Linked DNA regions of Mytilus edulis. The protein of the gene in region 2 binds, or shares a complex with, the protein of the main gene of each other region. Links are inferred from orthologs where the notes say so. Each region holds a gene or a part of one and is shown on either strand. Other genes may lie near its edges.

Region 1 (8,234 bases), on a different chromosome or scaffold from region 2:
TATAATGTTTAAGGAAATATAAAAAAAAAAGTAGAATAATTAATTTAAGTTCAGCTAATTTTTAAGATCAAAATTTATTTTTATAATGACATGCATGATTTAAACCTTTAGTTTGGATAACCACCCTAATTACAGATTATTTAACTGCTACTGGAGTACAATTTATAACCTGGGGCTAAATTTCCTTCTTAATTAGACATAAGATAATTGAAATAAAAACAAAATATGTTTGTTATTAATTAGAAGACTTTGATCATCTAATTAGTAAAGGCAAGAATGTTGTTAAGATTTGTTAACTTCTCCAATCAAATTATATACAAAATATATTTATAGTGTCAAAGGGATACATGTATCTATTTCAAAAAAAGAATTGCAATGCATTGCCATTGGTTCATTGTTAAAAGTATGTTTTGTTCTTTTTTAATTTAATTTATATACATGTATATCATAACATTTAAGAAATCAACTGTTTATCTAATCTAAGTTTTTAATTTCAACACGGATTGAAAATGATGTTTTAAGGAAAAATAATACAAATAACGCTTACTACTTTTAAAAATGTAGTACAGAACTTAAAGAAAGACAGACACATTTCCTATTTAAGATCTATTTTATTATTTCAAATCTATTTTCTTATTTTAATATTAAAGCTCTTGAATTATTGACAAGCACATACATCCATTTGTTTCAAAAGCTAGATATATAAAGTAAATTTAGGTAGGGGATCAGGGCTTCCAAAAAATATTTGAGCCAGCCGGACATTTCATATCTGATCCCGATTTTAATCCCTTAAGACTCAGTCACAAAAGGCAATTATGGTAATCAGATGGCCATTCCAATGATTGACATTACATTAAAAAAAAAACGATTTTAAACTTTACTTTGATATGAATTTGATGTTAGGATGTTACTATTAAATTGGCAGTGCATCATTCAAAGTGTGCACATCAGCGTGCTCATATCTGCCATAGACTTTTTATTTGTGCAAAATGACATTGTCAAAAACTACTTTCGTTTTCAACCGGATGTTGACTTGACAATGGTAAAACATGGACCATAAACGGATACGTAAAATCCGTGTATTTTTACAAAGCACGACTGAGAGAAGAAGCTCTTTCCATGTTATTTTTTCAACAAAATACTTGAATTGAACGTTAGATACAGGTATCATTGATTATTTTAGCATTTTTGAAGAAATGTAGGATGCATTATTAAATTTCCCACCTGTGCACATGCGCACACGTGTTCTAGTTCATACGACATAGTTCTGACGATTTTTTATCTAAAACCTTAAAATTTTTCATCAAATCATTTTGATAAACTAATTTCTAATAATTTTAATCTTTAGAACGAAATCAATTAGATACAAACCGCTGAAATGTAAGAAAATATTTGTGATTAAACCGATCAATTTATACGATGTCCGGTACTGATCATAGTTCACCTGTCACCTGAACAGGTAGATTTCAGCTGTCCAACTACTAATTAGCCTTGATTAAAATTAGAAAGTATTGAAGTGGGTGTTGTTTTGATAGTAATTAATCATCATGTCACATTTATGACCGGAAACGTGTTGATGTTAAAGGCAAAAGGTTGGGTCAAAAAGATCGTGAATTATGTAAAAATGACCGAAAAAGCCTTGAAAAATAAAAAGTATATGACCGTTTCATGCTTTGCCCAGCCGGACTTTTACCGGACATTATACAAATGACCAGAATATATGACCGTTTTGGAAGCCCTGTAGGGGATCTGGTTGCTCATAATGCAGCTTGAGACAATAGATGCAAATAAGGCAGTTGCTTTAATAACTCGCAATTATTGTTGATGCATAATATTTTATCTGTACTACAAAGTGATAACATACATATTTTCCTCTGAAATAGGTTATTTTTCATCATACTATTTTACTAAAGTAATCGAAATGTAATCGAAAAGTAATCGATGATTACATCCAAATTTTTGCTGTAATCGATTAAATTACGATTACATGTAATCGAAAATGTCTTCGATTACAGATTACTGTCGATAACTTGAAAAAATGTAATCAATTACAATCGATTACGATTACAGATTACGATTACCCCATCCCTGGAATAAGTACTTATAGCAAAAATAAACCAAGGTTTACTTTTATATGTTATTTGGATGGAGAGTTGTCTCATTGGCACTCACACCACATCTTCCTATATCTATACCAAGAATAAAAATAAAGTGATAAAACTGTGTCTGTTATGTATAAGAACATATATAGATAAACGTGCAGATGCTTAAATATCAAAGAAACAGAATATTTAAAAAGTAAAGTAATACTTTTTAAAGATTAACAATGAGCAGAATGATTGCCGGAAAGCGATAAAACAATCTATGTCAAATAACCGCTACCTATTGCATCAAAACTCTCGGCACTCTGCATCTAGGAAAAGTTACCGTTAAAAATGCCACACAAAACCCGCTCGTTGGCCCACTTTCTGTTTCTTTTCTTAACATGTTTGAATTAAAAAAAAAAAATCATACAGACTCTGTCCCCTTTCACAAGTAATGCCTTCCTATATCTATACCAAGAATAAAAATAAAGTGATAAAACTGTGTCTGTTATGTATAAGAACATATATAGATAAACGTGCAGATGCTTAAATATCAAAGAAACAGAATATTTAAAAAGTAAAGTAATACTTTTTAAAGATTAACAATGAGCAGAATGATTGCCGGAAAGCGATAAAACAATCTATGTCAAATAACCGCTACGTATTGCATCAAAACTCTCGGCACTCTGCATCTAGGAAAAGTTACCGTTAAAAATGCCACACAAAACCCGCTCGTTGGCCCACTTTCTGTTTCTTTTCTTAACATGTTTGAATTAAAAAAAAAAAATCATACAGACTCTGTCCCCTTTCACAAGTAATGCCTGCCTCATATTAAAATATTATATAAAATTAAATGGAAAGTATTAATTATTTTTGATTTATTTTAGGGGGTTGTCCATTATTTGAGAGTGAATTATTTAGCATTATGCAAGACGTTGCAATCTAATTAGTAATTTACCTATTTCCCACATCAAATTTTACATTACGAACTGATTCTTCATTTCCCCATGAACTTTTCTGCACCTCATGACACAACTGTCCTATGCGCTTTAAATGTTTTTGCATTAAAAATAGATGATTCTTTACAGTCCATGTTTGTTTCAAGGGCGCAGCCATCTTTTATTCGTAGTTGATTGGATAAATCTAGAGGAAATCCGGATTAATCTACTCATTCCCGGCTCAGATTGTTACTGTTTCTACTTATCAAATTTTACAGGCACCAGATTAATTGGCGCAATCTTTGAAGTTGAAGAATACAGAATACGTTGTGTCAGAGGTATATAATCGTAAATTATGAGTTACAGTAATCCAACCAAATAAATCATGCAAAAAAAAACGTTTTATAGATATTAAGGGAACTACCATTTTTCGAGTCCCACCGATAAGAAGATGTCAAACTTTTGCAGTTTTGTGAATGAATTAAAAAAAATAATTTGATAAATCATTTGAATTTCCTGTTCAAACATTTGGAAGGTAACTCAATTTTAAACAATTTGTATGAATTACTTTCTGTTTCATATCTGTGCATTAAAATTAAAATAGCCTTGCCAGACGTCATAATTTGGACTACCCCAAAACATGTTTCCTACGGTAGTCTAAAATCGGTCATCTTGTCAGTTCGTTAGGTATTTGTGTTTGAACTTAACACACTGGGAAACTACGCATTGACGTCACTGAACTTAGCAAACATGGGAAACTACGCGTAGAAAAACAGTGCAGAATACGTTTTTTCTGCACTTTTGAAAAAAAAAACATTTTTAAAGATAAGTTTTCATTGTTGTTCTCAATTATTGCTAAAAAATGCCAATTTTCTAATGCCTGTTTCAATCCTGACTTCCGAATGTCTAAAAACATTCTAGAACTTCACAAAATCCCACTTCCGGCCTCCATTGCTTTAAGTACATTCCATTCAGCGTCATCAGTCTTGTGGCAGGCAATACAGGTCAAGCAAATCGTATTTTTAGGAATTTTAAAATGACATGCTCCTTATGTCTTTCGCGATTTTCCCCGCGAAAAAAGCCCAACCAAAATGAAAGGAAAACTATATGAAAAAACGATGTCCATGCCATAAAAGAGGGACGAAAGATACCAAAGGGACAGTCAAACTCATAATTCTAAAACAAACTGACAACGCCATGGCTAAAAATGAAAAAGACAAACAGAAAAACAATAGTACACATGACACAACATAGAAAACTAAAGAATAAACAACAAGAACCCCACCAAAAACTAGGGGTGATCTCAGGTGCTCCGGAAGGGTAAGCAGATCCTGCTCCACATGTGGCACCCGTCGTGTTGCTTATGTGATTACAAATCCGGTAAATAGACTAATTCGGTAGGTCACATTTATGAAAGGGAAGGGGATTGTAGTTACGACGTAAGGAACATATCCGATATCATTTGTGAAACGGTTATTCCATAACGGTCAACCAACTCGTGATGGCGTCCGTAAAATTTACGAAGGGATGATTTCAACTTCACCATATGCAACTCTTGGCTTAATAGCTTCCTTGTGAGCAGTAACCCTCCATAATTTTGTACAGGAATATAGAGAAGGTTAATAAAAAACAATTTACATTATTTTTCATAGAATTTTTTTTTTATTCATTTTAAAAAGATCGATATTCTGACCATCATGACTGTAGGTAAATATTCATACAAAATTCCATTGATGTCGAAAGGGATGGCAAAAAATGAGGTTTCCTATTAAATAAAACCCAAAAGTATTGCAAACTATTTTAAAGCAATATCCCACAAAGAAATAACGTAATTGCCGTAGGCTGAAAAATCCCCTAATTGACAGTAGAGCAATTTGATTGGGTAGAACGAATTGACATCACAGGATTTTGACGCCATTGAAATTTGATTGTTAACAAACAAGGTCAGAAGGTTCAGTATGGGACAGCATCGTACACTGAGTTACTAAGAAACAATTATGAGTAACCAAGCTTGACAATGCACGGTAATAAAAAATGAAAGCTAAGTCTACAGAAAAAATAAGAAAAAAATTGCCTTAGGATAACGACTTATCAACACACCTGGATTCGCTCACATTCACGTTCATACATACACCTTATTGCTATTTGTCCGCCATTACTGGATATCGCACAGGTCCCCGTAAAATTTTGACGTCATAAAACAAAATATCTGATGCCACAATGGAAAAGTGATTGTTGTTGACGTCAAAAGTTCAAGCGGCCGGGTCAGCCGGAATTAGCGATAAGGTGTATTGAAGGGACAACTAAAAGTGTTTGATAAATGATAAAGAAAGAAAAGTCAAATACAAGATAAAATGTGGCTGGAACATGCTCTACTTAAACCACATGCTAACTAAAACCCGCATTGAGTAATAAGGGGAGGAAAATCTATTACAAGGCATTATCATTTATGTAAAATGAGAGTTGCCTCGTATTGTACAAAATTGATGCAGGACACGATGGCCATACTGCCATGACGTCCATAGAATGTATGGCTTGTCAGTGCTTGTTGTCTAAACTATGATTATCCTAAAAAAAAAAGAAGACAACTCTGAATGTCTACATGTAAAATGTATCTGACTATCAATAAGTCAAACAACAACTCAACTCTGGGAAATAATAAAAGGAGAGATTTGACTATATAATTGATTTATTGAGTGTCTCCTAAGTTAAAGAAAACTAGGACTGTTTCTGAAGAGAGGTTTTACCAATAATAAGTTAAATAGGAAAGTCAACTCAGAATAAGTTTATTGGGAGATCTTTGATGCCTGTTTTGAAGAATACATTGATTTCCTGCAAACTTCAAAAAATCCATAGGAACCTAAGAATTGGTAGATATTACCAGAGAACTCTATTTTATATGATGTAATACTGCTTTTATTGATAATAAAGACTATAACTTTGACATGCATGTGTATAAGTCATTTTTACTCAATAAATGTACATGTATAGAGCTATCTACCAGGCCTGTAGCCAGGAATTTCCAAGGAGGGGGTTCGTTGGACTCATGAACTCGACTTTAACAGTCACAATTTGAATGTTGACTTTAACAGTGCTTATTTGATTTCAAGGGGGGGGGGGGGGTTCGGACAGGGGGGGGTTCTGGCTACGGGTATGTCTACCTTTTGAATAATTACATCTTCCATATTGTTATACTAGGACCTTGCATATAAGACACAACAATCAAATTCCTCAACTTAAATTGTACTTTTATTGTGTGAAAATTATGTATCTTTCAAAATTAGTCTTAATTATCTCACAAAGCAGAAATAATACTACATGTATAATATACAATTAAGTTTGACGAAAAATGTAAAAATATAACTTTATTTATAATCATTTGAATAGTCCAAATTCACTTTTGATAAATTGTCTAGGTTGTAAATCACTTTGTTTACAGTGACTTTTACAAAGACGGCCTGAGCCGTCTTTATAGATTGTCTGTGTTTCTAAGTTGTCTTCAAGCTGAGTTGTCCCATATTCACACCAGTAATCACAAACTGATTAAAAACCTGAAAACTGCTTAATATTACCTGAAAAAACTTTATTTTTACAATTTTTTTGTACTTGCAGATCATTAATAATGCCGTGGGACTTGATAGCCACAGATTTTAATGGTGAGGAAACCATTAATTTTGGACCAAGACAAGAATCTGGCATTGCATTGTATCAAGTGGAAACCTTAGCTACAATATCATCTAGTGATAAGGTACAATGAAACACTTTTATAAAATTTTGTATCCATGATGTGTAGAGTGGGGTACTCATTTTCGCCATATCTTTCCATGTTTTCTACAGTTTATGTTGAGGTCTATATGTTTTTGAAGTAAACTGATATTTCTATATGAAGATAACTTCAAATGCAAAATATTCCTAAGCTTGAAAACGTGTTTGTTTGAAAATAATTACCTGAAAAGTTAGATTAAAAGGTGTTTGAAATTTCTTGATGTTTTGTCCAAGGGGGACACATATTCGCCGTTTTTACACATCTATTTGAAACCAAATAACTGCAGCTTTAACAATATTTATCAAATCAATATCATTATAGATGAATAGCAGACCTTTCAAAGGTTTTAAGAACTGAAATTAAGGGCAATTAGTGCAAAAAAATAACTAAGAAATACTTCTTTGAAATCGTGTTTTTCATTCTGACAGGAAATTGGCCGAAATCGTTGTCCGTTTTTCAGTCTTTTGTGGTAAGTGCTGCAATTTTGCCTCAGTTTAAAAAAATAATCATATTTGTTATAAAAATATAAATTACCGCCATATTTCTTCCATTTCTGCCATCCTTTGAAGCTTTTACACCTCAAAATCATAAAACGGCAAAATTGTGTCCCCGGCGAATATGAGTGCCCCACTCTAACATTGTAGTTTCAAAATCTGAAAGAATTATGTTAATCTTGAGGATATGTATACCTGACCAATATTAATGATATACATGTACCCCAATCAGACATTTAAAATTTGAACTGCTGATCAAAACAAGTTAAGATGATGTTATTAATTTCCCCCATTGAACATATTGAATTTGAAAGATAACAAATAGGATTCCATCAGCACCCAGTAATGATAATACATATATAATAGAATAAGCTTTGTTTCTTTATGCATAAAATGCATTCCTGATTACCTGTATCAGGTATGCCCAAGACAAAAAGTAAGTTACCTAAAACATAAAATGTTCTTTGTGGTCACAGGATCAATAGAAATGATGTACCACATTGATTGTTCTTGACTATAGTTATAAATGTATATTAATGTTTCAGGATAAGTTGCATCAGCAGTGTGAAGGAAGTATTTCCATATCAACCTGGTGAACCCAACATTTTTGTGAGGATTTCACAAACATACCTGTCGCAACCCCAACTTATTCGATAAAACTTATGACACATGATCAAGCACAATAATTATCAGTGATTTTTTGGGATGAATTGGTATCACATTTATAAGTTGATACCTTATACTAAGAGATATCTTTTTTTTTTAACTTTTGATTTTTTTATTTCCAACAATTACAACATATACATGATATACATACAATATAACACATGTAAGATAAATACAATGTCATTTTTATAAATAAATCTTAATTGGAAATATTTTACATTTTCCATTGAAAAGATAAAGAAATAAAAAAAAAATAAAGAAGGAAAACAAAAAACAAAAACAAAAC
Region 2 (8,020 bases):
TAATTATAAGTCTGTTTTAACTGCAAGAATACCCGAAAGGCTGACAAGCAGTTTATTCTTTAATTGCTGTCATTGAATATCAGAAAGAAAATAAATCCTGAAATTGATTTGAAACTTTGATACTCAATAGTTTTCCTGGAAAATATTCACATCCCTTGGGGATTATTAGTGTACGTTCAGTTGCATATATATATTACATGCATGTCAGAACAATTGTGATGATGACTAATTTCTTCCATCTAATTGATATATAAATCTGTCATTTTACTATGTCCATAACTTCGATGAACCAAAGCAAGTAATATATCTACCTGTATTTAAATCAAAATGGTTCTCTTCTTCTTCTTTTGGTATACAATAGTCTATCAATTCAATGATTACATACTGTTGGCATATGTGGACTAGTCTATTTACAAAACTTTTACCCGAAATTAAACAAAATGTATGTTTCTTTCTTATGTTCAATGTATACATGTATATATTTTAAATTGTGATTATCTATAGTTCCGTAACTTTCTATCCAGGCGTATGTAAACGAATGGTCGACAAGTGCGTACAATTTTGTTAAATTCAATGTTTCTGGTATGTTCCAATCCATCCTTCACTATTGACAACAAGTATATATTACAGTGTTCTCCCCAGAAATTTTGGATAGCTTCACATTTGGCGTAAAAAAAATAAATTGTATTTTTTTCAATGTAATTTTTAATGCATTAAATGGATGAAACATAACCTAGAGCTAATTATGATCAATTTCTAAAGAAAGTACAAAACTTATTTAGCTCAATATTAAAATTTTCACTCTCAATTTACATGGGAAGAGAAAGAAAGTAATAATATGGGGACAAAGTCCCCAATTACGGTAGAAAAATCAATAAAAAAAAAAATCAGGAAAATTTTCCCGAATTTTTCATTCTACTAAATGAACTCAAAATCGTTAACTTTTTTTTCAGATCTACTTCCTCTTCCGGTCTTGTTTGCATGAGACTTTAAATAAAATGTATAATTTTTCAACATATCAAAAAATATAGGAAGGAGTTCAACACCCAATCATTTTTAATAATTGTTTGATATGAAAAAAACGTTACCTGATAACAGCGTTTCTTTGTTTACATTGAATATGACTTCATAACTTAAATAACGTCACAACTGAATCCCTAACAACAGAACCAATATCGGAAACATTACAGTATTTCCATGTTTGAATAGAAAACAAATTAATACAAACTTCGTCCCCATTCACAGGTAATGCCTGCCTCATATTAATTTGAAAGTCATAAAAAGATACGACTCAACCTCTTTTTAAAAAGAGAAAAATTGTTTGTTTCCTGAACTTTCATATTGCAAACATTTTGAATTTTTTGTTTATGATTTTCTGATTACATTCTCCTTGGCGAAATTTCCGATAGCAGACCACATGGTATCAATCATGTCACAAGTGACAGCTTGGGGTATTCGTATCCAAACAGTTATCACCCAAAGGGCAATTAACACCTATTTAATATATATTTAATATGAAATTATTATAGCGTCACGGAAAGAAAATATAGCGTCCCGATACCGCGACGCTAAAACAGCCTGAGGAGAACACTGTATTACATTTTCCCAAATTTACCCTTGGAAAAAATATGTAAATATATAGTTATTTCATCAAATCTTTTTTTTTTGGTACATGTATTATTTATATTTTTATAAATAATATTCTTTACACCAGAAATGTTATTTATAAACAAGCGTATGAGTTAAGTAATGACTAGTATATTATATCAGTTTTGGACACGCAAGACAGAGATGTATATTATACACCTGATACATGTAGTTCAAAATGGAAAGTTATAAGTTATGGGCCGTGTACACTGATCAATACCATCAGAAGTGAAACGATGCATGCACTTGCAAGCGCGACAGGAAATTGCTTGAATACCTGGACGTGTCACCTCACACCCCTCACAATAATTTTAGGAGTAATACCTTGAGCCATGCTGGTGATCAGATGAGGGAAGATCCAAATTTATTTGAATAAAGTTAATTACATAAAAGAATTATGAGCAAATTAGATTAAAGAAAACAATTTTCACTGAACACTTATTCATGATTTGAACTTGCCTTTTTAACTAATTCCAATATTAACAGTTAAAAAATAACAGACTATGGTGTGTAGTTATTTGTGATCATAAAATTGTTAAATCTTAATTAAGACACAAAACAATCATGTTACAAGTGTTAGTAACATCGTTTAAATCCAATCAACAAGGTAAACCTCATGAGTGATGGTATATTTTCCGTTGCTGATTAACGAAAGAAGAAGTACAGTAAATTGATCACGTGGTGTAAACAATCTGGGTTTGAACTGGTCAAATTTCACCTGAATATTTTAGCACCACGGATAAGAATTCTACATCGCGGCAGAACCAATAGAACCACGGTAAAAAATTATACATTGCAGGCCCGTGGTCCTTTAAGAGCCTGGGGAGAACACTGAACATGCAGGGTCACGCAGACACTGCCTTATAGGAAGGTCTTAATTCATTCTGTGACAAATGTTTGAGCTTTTGTTTATGCAATTTGCTAAGGGACTTCCCGATTAAAATTTTCCATGGGATTTGGAATTATTTTTTGTTAAATTTGACTTTTTTTTTCAAACATGTCTTTACCTTTGGCCAGGGTTCCACCAAGTTCTTCACCAATTCCATGTGGCTGTGTATGTGTTGATGTGTATGGAACTGGTTCAACAAGCGATTCTAAAGTTTTTACAGGTGTGTTTTGGCTCTTTTTATTCTTTTTAGATTTTGAATGTCGACTATAGAGCTCTTGTCCTTGCAATGACTTAAATCCAAGCACATGTTTCGTCAGATTTGTAACATCTACTTGCTTGATTAATTTATGGACTTTTGGTTGTTTTCTGCAAACAGTTGTGCAAATATTGAACATAATTTCATCAAAGAACTGTCTAAATCCAAGCTATGTGATCTACTGCAAAATTTCTCGTGTTTTCTTACTGGAGGCTGACATCTTGAAATAAACCGGAAGTAGAATAAGGCGAATGACTAAATCACATGATTGTCAAAATGGTAGATGTCGTCGTAGATCTGAGTACTTTAAATTGTTATTTATTCAATAACTGTTGACATGAATAAGTTCACAGCAAAAGAAAATGGTTAACTTTTCATTACAAAGTGTTTATGGTATGATTTATTTTGAATATTTTACATAGCATGATCTTCTTCTTCTGATCATGAGGACCATCAGTTTTATTCTCAATATCTTATCGTCTATGCTAGTCTCTCTGCTACATCCTAGGCATCAAAAATGAAAGCCAGAGATTCTACACACTCAACTGTCCATATCCTGTACATCCCAATGCCATACCTGAGGGTAGTAATTAGAGTACCTTCATGACAAAAACCGTAAAAATTCTTGCCAAATGACATTAACAGTAATTTTTGGTGCATGACGTTTGGGTCCTACTAAAATGCGCCTGGAGAAAATAAAAAGCACCCGGAGAAAATAAAAAGCGCCCGGAGAAAATAAAAAGAAAAAAAAGCGCCAGGAGAAAATAAAAAGCGCCTGGAGAAGAAAACATAGCGCCCAGGGAACAGAAAAAGCGCCCGGGAAAAATATATAGATATTTTATTGGCATGAGACAACTTTGTTAAGTTACGGACATTTTTTATTTTTTTATTTTAGACAAGTAATTTGCAAATTCAGATAATAGACATTTGTAATAAAACACAAAAACAAGTATGAATATTTCAATTTTAACAATAATATATGAATTCTTTTTCGAAAGACTGATAATAATGGCAGGATATCACAGTTTATGCGGAAGATTTATAACATGTAATTAAGACATCAAAAGACATGTTTTTGAAAAACGATATCAAAATGAAAATGTATAAGACAACTCAAATTTCACAGATAAATATTAACTTAAGCAAAATAAAAAAGGTACACATAATAAATCAGCAAAAAAGCAGTACTATACATGTACCTAGTTAAAACAAGGTGATAAAAAGCAGATGTTAATTTACTTATGTTTAAATTTAAGTCTTAGCATTAAAACCCTGATAACCATAGCCATTGAAACAGTTTTAGTTTTATAAAAAGATATAATAAATCTATCTCAGCATCTGTATAAAAAAGTGTTCACCATGCAGTTGCGAAAATATTAGACCTCAGGCACCGATTATTTTTAGTAACAAAACATACATTTTGATCGAGGACAATGTCTTTCATGATTCTTCTATTTACTATTATTGAGGGGGAGGACAGGGGTAAGGGAGACTGGGAGAAAGGAGAGGAAGGCTGGGAGAAAGGAGAAAAAATAAAATATCTCTCCTTTTAAAAAACGATCTAATATTTCAAGAAAAAATATCTCAAAGGGAGATGTTTTATTCTAATGGAAGAAAGGAGAACGGGGGTAGGAAAAAGGAGAAGGGGGTAGGAGAAAGGAGAAGAGGGGGTGGGAGAAGGGAGAATGGTACCCCCTGTCCTCCCCCTCATTATTTATATTTATTTACATACTTATATACAATTTTGAAATCTAAAATGTAAAAGTACAACAATACTTTAGATATAGCATCATACATTTCACCATTTATATTAAGGACAAAACAAGCAATGATTAGTTATTTTTTAAAGAAAAAAATATTGTTATAAAATATTATTATTTTCTTCTCCACGGCGCTAATTTTCTTCTCAGGGTGCTAATTTTCCTTCTCCGGGCGCTTTTTCTTTTCCCCGGGCGTTTTTTCTTTTCCCGGGCACTTTTCAGTAGGACCGTGACGTTTAAAATGGATACTTTCTTTTAGACAATAAACTAGAGGCTCTAAAGAGCCTGTGTCGCTCACCTTGGTTTATGTGCATATTAAACGAAGGACACAGATGGATTCATGACAAAATTGTGTTTTGGTGTTGGTGATGTGTTTGAAGATCTTACTTTACTGAACAATCTTGCAGCTTACAATTATCTCTATCTATAATGAAATTGGCCCAGAATGTGACAGTGGAAAATATTTTGTAAAAATTTACAAAAATTACAAAATTTATGAAAATTGTTAAAATTGACTATAAACAGTCAGAGCTCAGACATAAATAAGTCTGAATCTGCTTTTGACTCATAGAGGTCTAAATTTGTAAGTTTTAGTATTTGTCTCCCTTTAATGCAAGACATAAGAAATATAAATATTGTTAAGCAAGAAATAATTGACCAGAATCAAAAAGTTGCAAATAACGCTTTCTACAAGTCGAAAAGTGATCAAAATTGGTAAACTTCAAGACCCACGCATATTTATAAGGAGGTCATGCATCTAAATCAAATAATGACAACATTGAAAGACAATGCTTTGTCTTCTAAAGAAAAATATGAAATGAGAGTCTAAAAAATCGGAGATAATGTTAATTAACCTTACAATGCAACCACCTGGAACCCCACTTAATGAGGTAAAACATCTGTGTTTAGTGAGGATGTTCAATTAGACAATTAAATATAGATAGCTCAAGTCCTTGTGAACTCTCAGACAGGTTTTTGCTGTCATAGGTGGTGTAGTTTGGCCACCAAGTGAAATTAAGTTTTTTCATCAACATAAATAGACCTAAACAAGTCTGTCATTTTCTGACTTAGATAAGTCTAAAATTGAAAACACATTTTTATGATAAATAACTGTTTTGACTTAGAACTGTAAGTTGAAAACAAAAATCGACTTGTTTATGTCTGAGCTCTGACTGATAAAGGGCAATAACTCCTTAAGATGTCAATTGACCACTTTGGTCATATTGACTTATTTGTAGCTCTTACCGGTACTTTGCTGTACATTATTGCTGTTTACAGTTTATCTCTATCTATAATAATATTCAAGATAATAACCAAAAGCTGCAAAATTTTCTTAAAATTACCAATTTAGGGGCAGCAATCCAACAACAAGCTTCCCGATTGGTCTGAAATTTCAGGGCAGATAGATCTTAACCTAATGAACAATTTTATCCACAGCAGATTTGCTCTAAATGCTTTGGTTTCAGAGATATGAGCAAAAAACATTTTACCCTATGAACTATTTTTACCCATGTCAGCCATCTAGGTATGGGGATGGGGTCATCAGACACATTTTTAAAACTAGATACCCTACTGATAATTGTGAACAAGTTTGGACGAATTGGTCCTAGTAGTTTTGGAGGAGAAGATTTTTTTAGAAGATTACAAAAATTTACCAAAAATTGTTAAAAATTAACTATAAAAGGCAATAAATCCTTAAGCATGTTAAGGGGTCAACTGACTGTTGACTTATTTGTAGATCTTACTTTGCTGTACATTTACAGTTTATCTCTATCTATAATAATATTCAAGATTATAAACAAAAATGTCAAAATTTCCTTAAAATTACCAATTTAGGGGCAGCAATCAAGCAACTAGTTCTCCGATTCATCTGAAAATTTCAGGGCAGATAGATCTTGACCTGATTAACAATTTTACCCCATGTCAGATTTAATTTGCTCCAAATGCTTTGGTTTCAGAGATATTTATAAGCCAAAATCTACATTTTACCACTATGTTCTATTTTTAGCCATAACAGTCATCTTGGTTGGTTAGCCGGGTCACAGGACACATTTATTAAACTAGATACCCCAATGATGATTGTATCCAAGTTTGGTTTAATTTGGCCCAGTAGTTTCAGAGGAGAAGATTTTTGTAGAAGTTAACGACAACGGACGCCAAGTGATGAGAAAAGCTCACTTTGCTCTTTGGGCTGGGTGAGCTAAAACATCTACTGATTTGGACGCATAATGTTAATTTTTTTCCAAAAATGATGTTAACGGTAATTATTTGAGACCAATAACAAACCACAATATTTTAATGTCTGTCGGTAAATGGCATTAATACCCTCATACCTGTATCGTCCTGAGGTCCTGAAATTCATGAAATTATTGTAATGTTTTCCAACAAATATTTGGTGCTTTTAAATTCAACATTTCAATTTTGTTCAAATCATTGGAAAAATGTGGTGAAATACTTAAGATTTTTATTGACTTTTTGATAGATAATTGTTTATGGTTTCAGAAAAGGTATCACCCTAGTAGATAATGGGGTAAAATATTGGGAATTATAAAGTCCTGTTCTTACATTATTTGAAATCTTAACCCTTACCATGCAGTGACCATCATATGACAGGCGTACTCAGACCATCATTGTTTGGCTCCAATGGTGTTCCATACTTTTAGAAGTCCACTTTATGATACTTAATTTAAAAGTTGTGCATGTTCTGTCAACCTGAGGCTATCCATATTCATGTTTCTCATGAATAAATTGCATTTTGAGCACAAATACAGACTTGGAAAATTGAAATCGGCTGAAACTCGGTTTTCTGGAGGGGTGGACTTCACATCTGTGTCTTTTTTCGGGCCCCTTTATAGCTTGTTGTTCGGTGTGAGTCAAGGCTTCATGTTGAAGGCTAAACATTGACCTATAATGGTTTACTTTTATAAATTGTTATTTGGATGGAGAGTTGTCTCATTGGCACTCACACCACATCTTCCTATATCTACTTACACAGGAAGTTCAGAGGCATAAAACTTGCAAAAATAGTGCTAACCCATGAACATAAAACTACTGATCGTTATCATTATTAAAATGCACAGCGGAAACGTCTACTTCCTGTTTTGTGTCCATTTGAAGTCAAAAATTGGAAAAAATCGTGAAATTCCGTATTTTTGGTCCAAATGGCCTGCTGTAGACTGCTGAACCAAGATCAGATTCACTCCCACCTAACAATTGTTGGGGTCAATTTGTTCACTAGGGTCAACTCTACATGCAGGCTACAGCTGGATACCTTTACCAGCATCCCTGGGTCTTTGGGGTCAAGAGAAAGGACGAAAAATCGCTTTTTGCACCTGATGCCCAACTTTGGGGCAAATTACCGCACGCTCACCCATCCCCGTCTCCTCACCACCATATACTCACCCTGACCACCCTGCCCCGTGATCACCTACATTAGATTTAAAGTAATCATTTTGCTACAGCAACAGG

What was found.
Region 1: ATP-dependent RNA helicase SUV3 homolog, mitochondrial-like (region 2) and polyribonucleotide nucleotidyltransferase 1, mitochondrial-like share a complex: the UniProt entries of both Homo sapiens proteins name them as parts of the mitochondrial degradosome (mtEXO) complex. The link is inferred for Mytilus edulis from reciprocal best matches to the Homo sapiens genes SUPV3L1 and PNPT1.

What each region holds. Positions count from the first base shown.
Region 1 is NC_092346.1:59,045,715-59,053,948, reverse strand, and holds the start of polyribonucleotide nucleotidyltransferase 1, mitochondrial-like, read right to left. Parts: upstream 3,237-8,234; 5' UTR 3,201-3,236; coding exon 3,043-3,200; intron 1-3,042. Other genes in the region: kinetochore-associated protein 1-like, read left to right, coding at 6,645-6,770. UniProt on the Homo sapiens protein: RNA-binding protein implicated in numerous RNA metabolic processes. Catalyzes the phosphorolysis of single-stranded polyribonucleotides processively in the 3'-to-5' direction. Mitochondrial intermembrane factor with RNA-processing exoribonulease activity.
Region 2 is NC_092347.1:16,599,946-16,607,965, forward strand, and holds the start of ATP-dependent RNA helicase SUV3 homolog, mitochondrial-like, read right to left. Parts: upstream 3,042-8,020; 5' UTR 2,932-3,041; coding exon 2,655-2,931; intron 1-2,654. Other genes in the region: proprotein convertase subtilisin/kexin type 5-like, read left to right, coding at 3,155-3,185. UniProt on the Homo sapiens protein: Major helicase player in mitochondrial RNA metabolism. Component of the mitochondrial degradosome (mtEXO) complex, that degrades 3' overhang double-stranded RNA with a 3'-to-5' directionality in an ATP-dependent manner.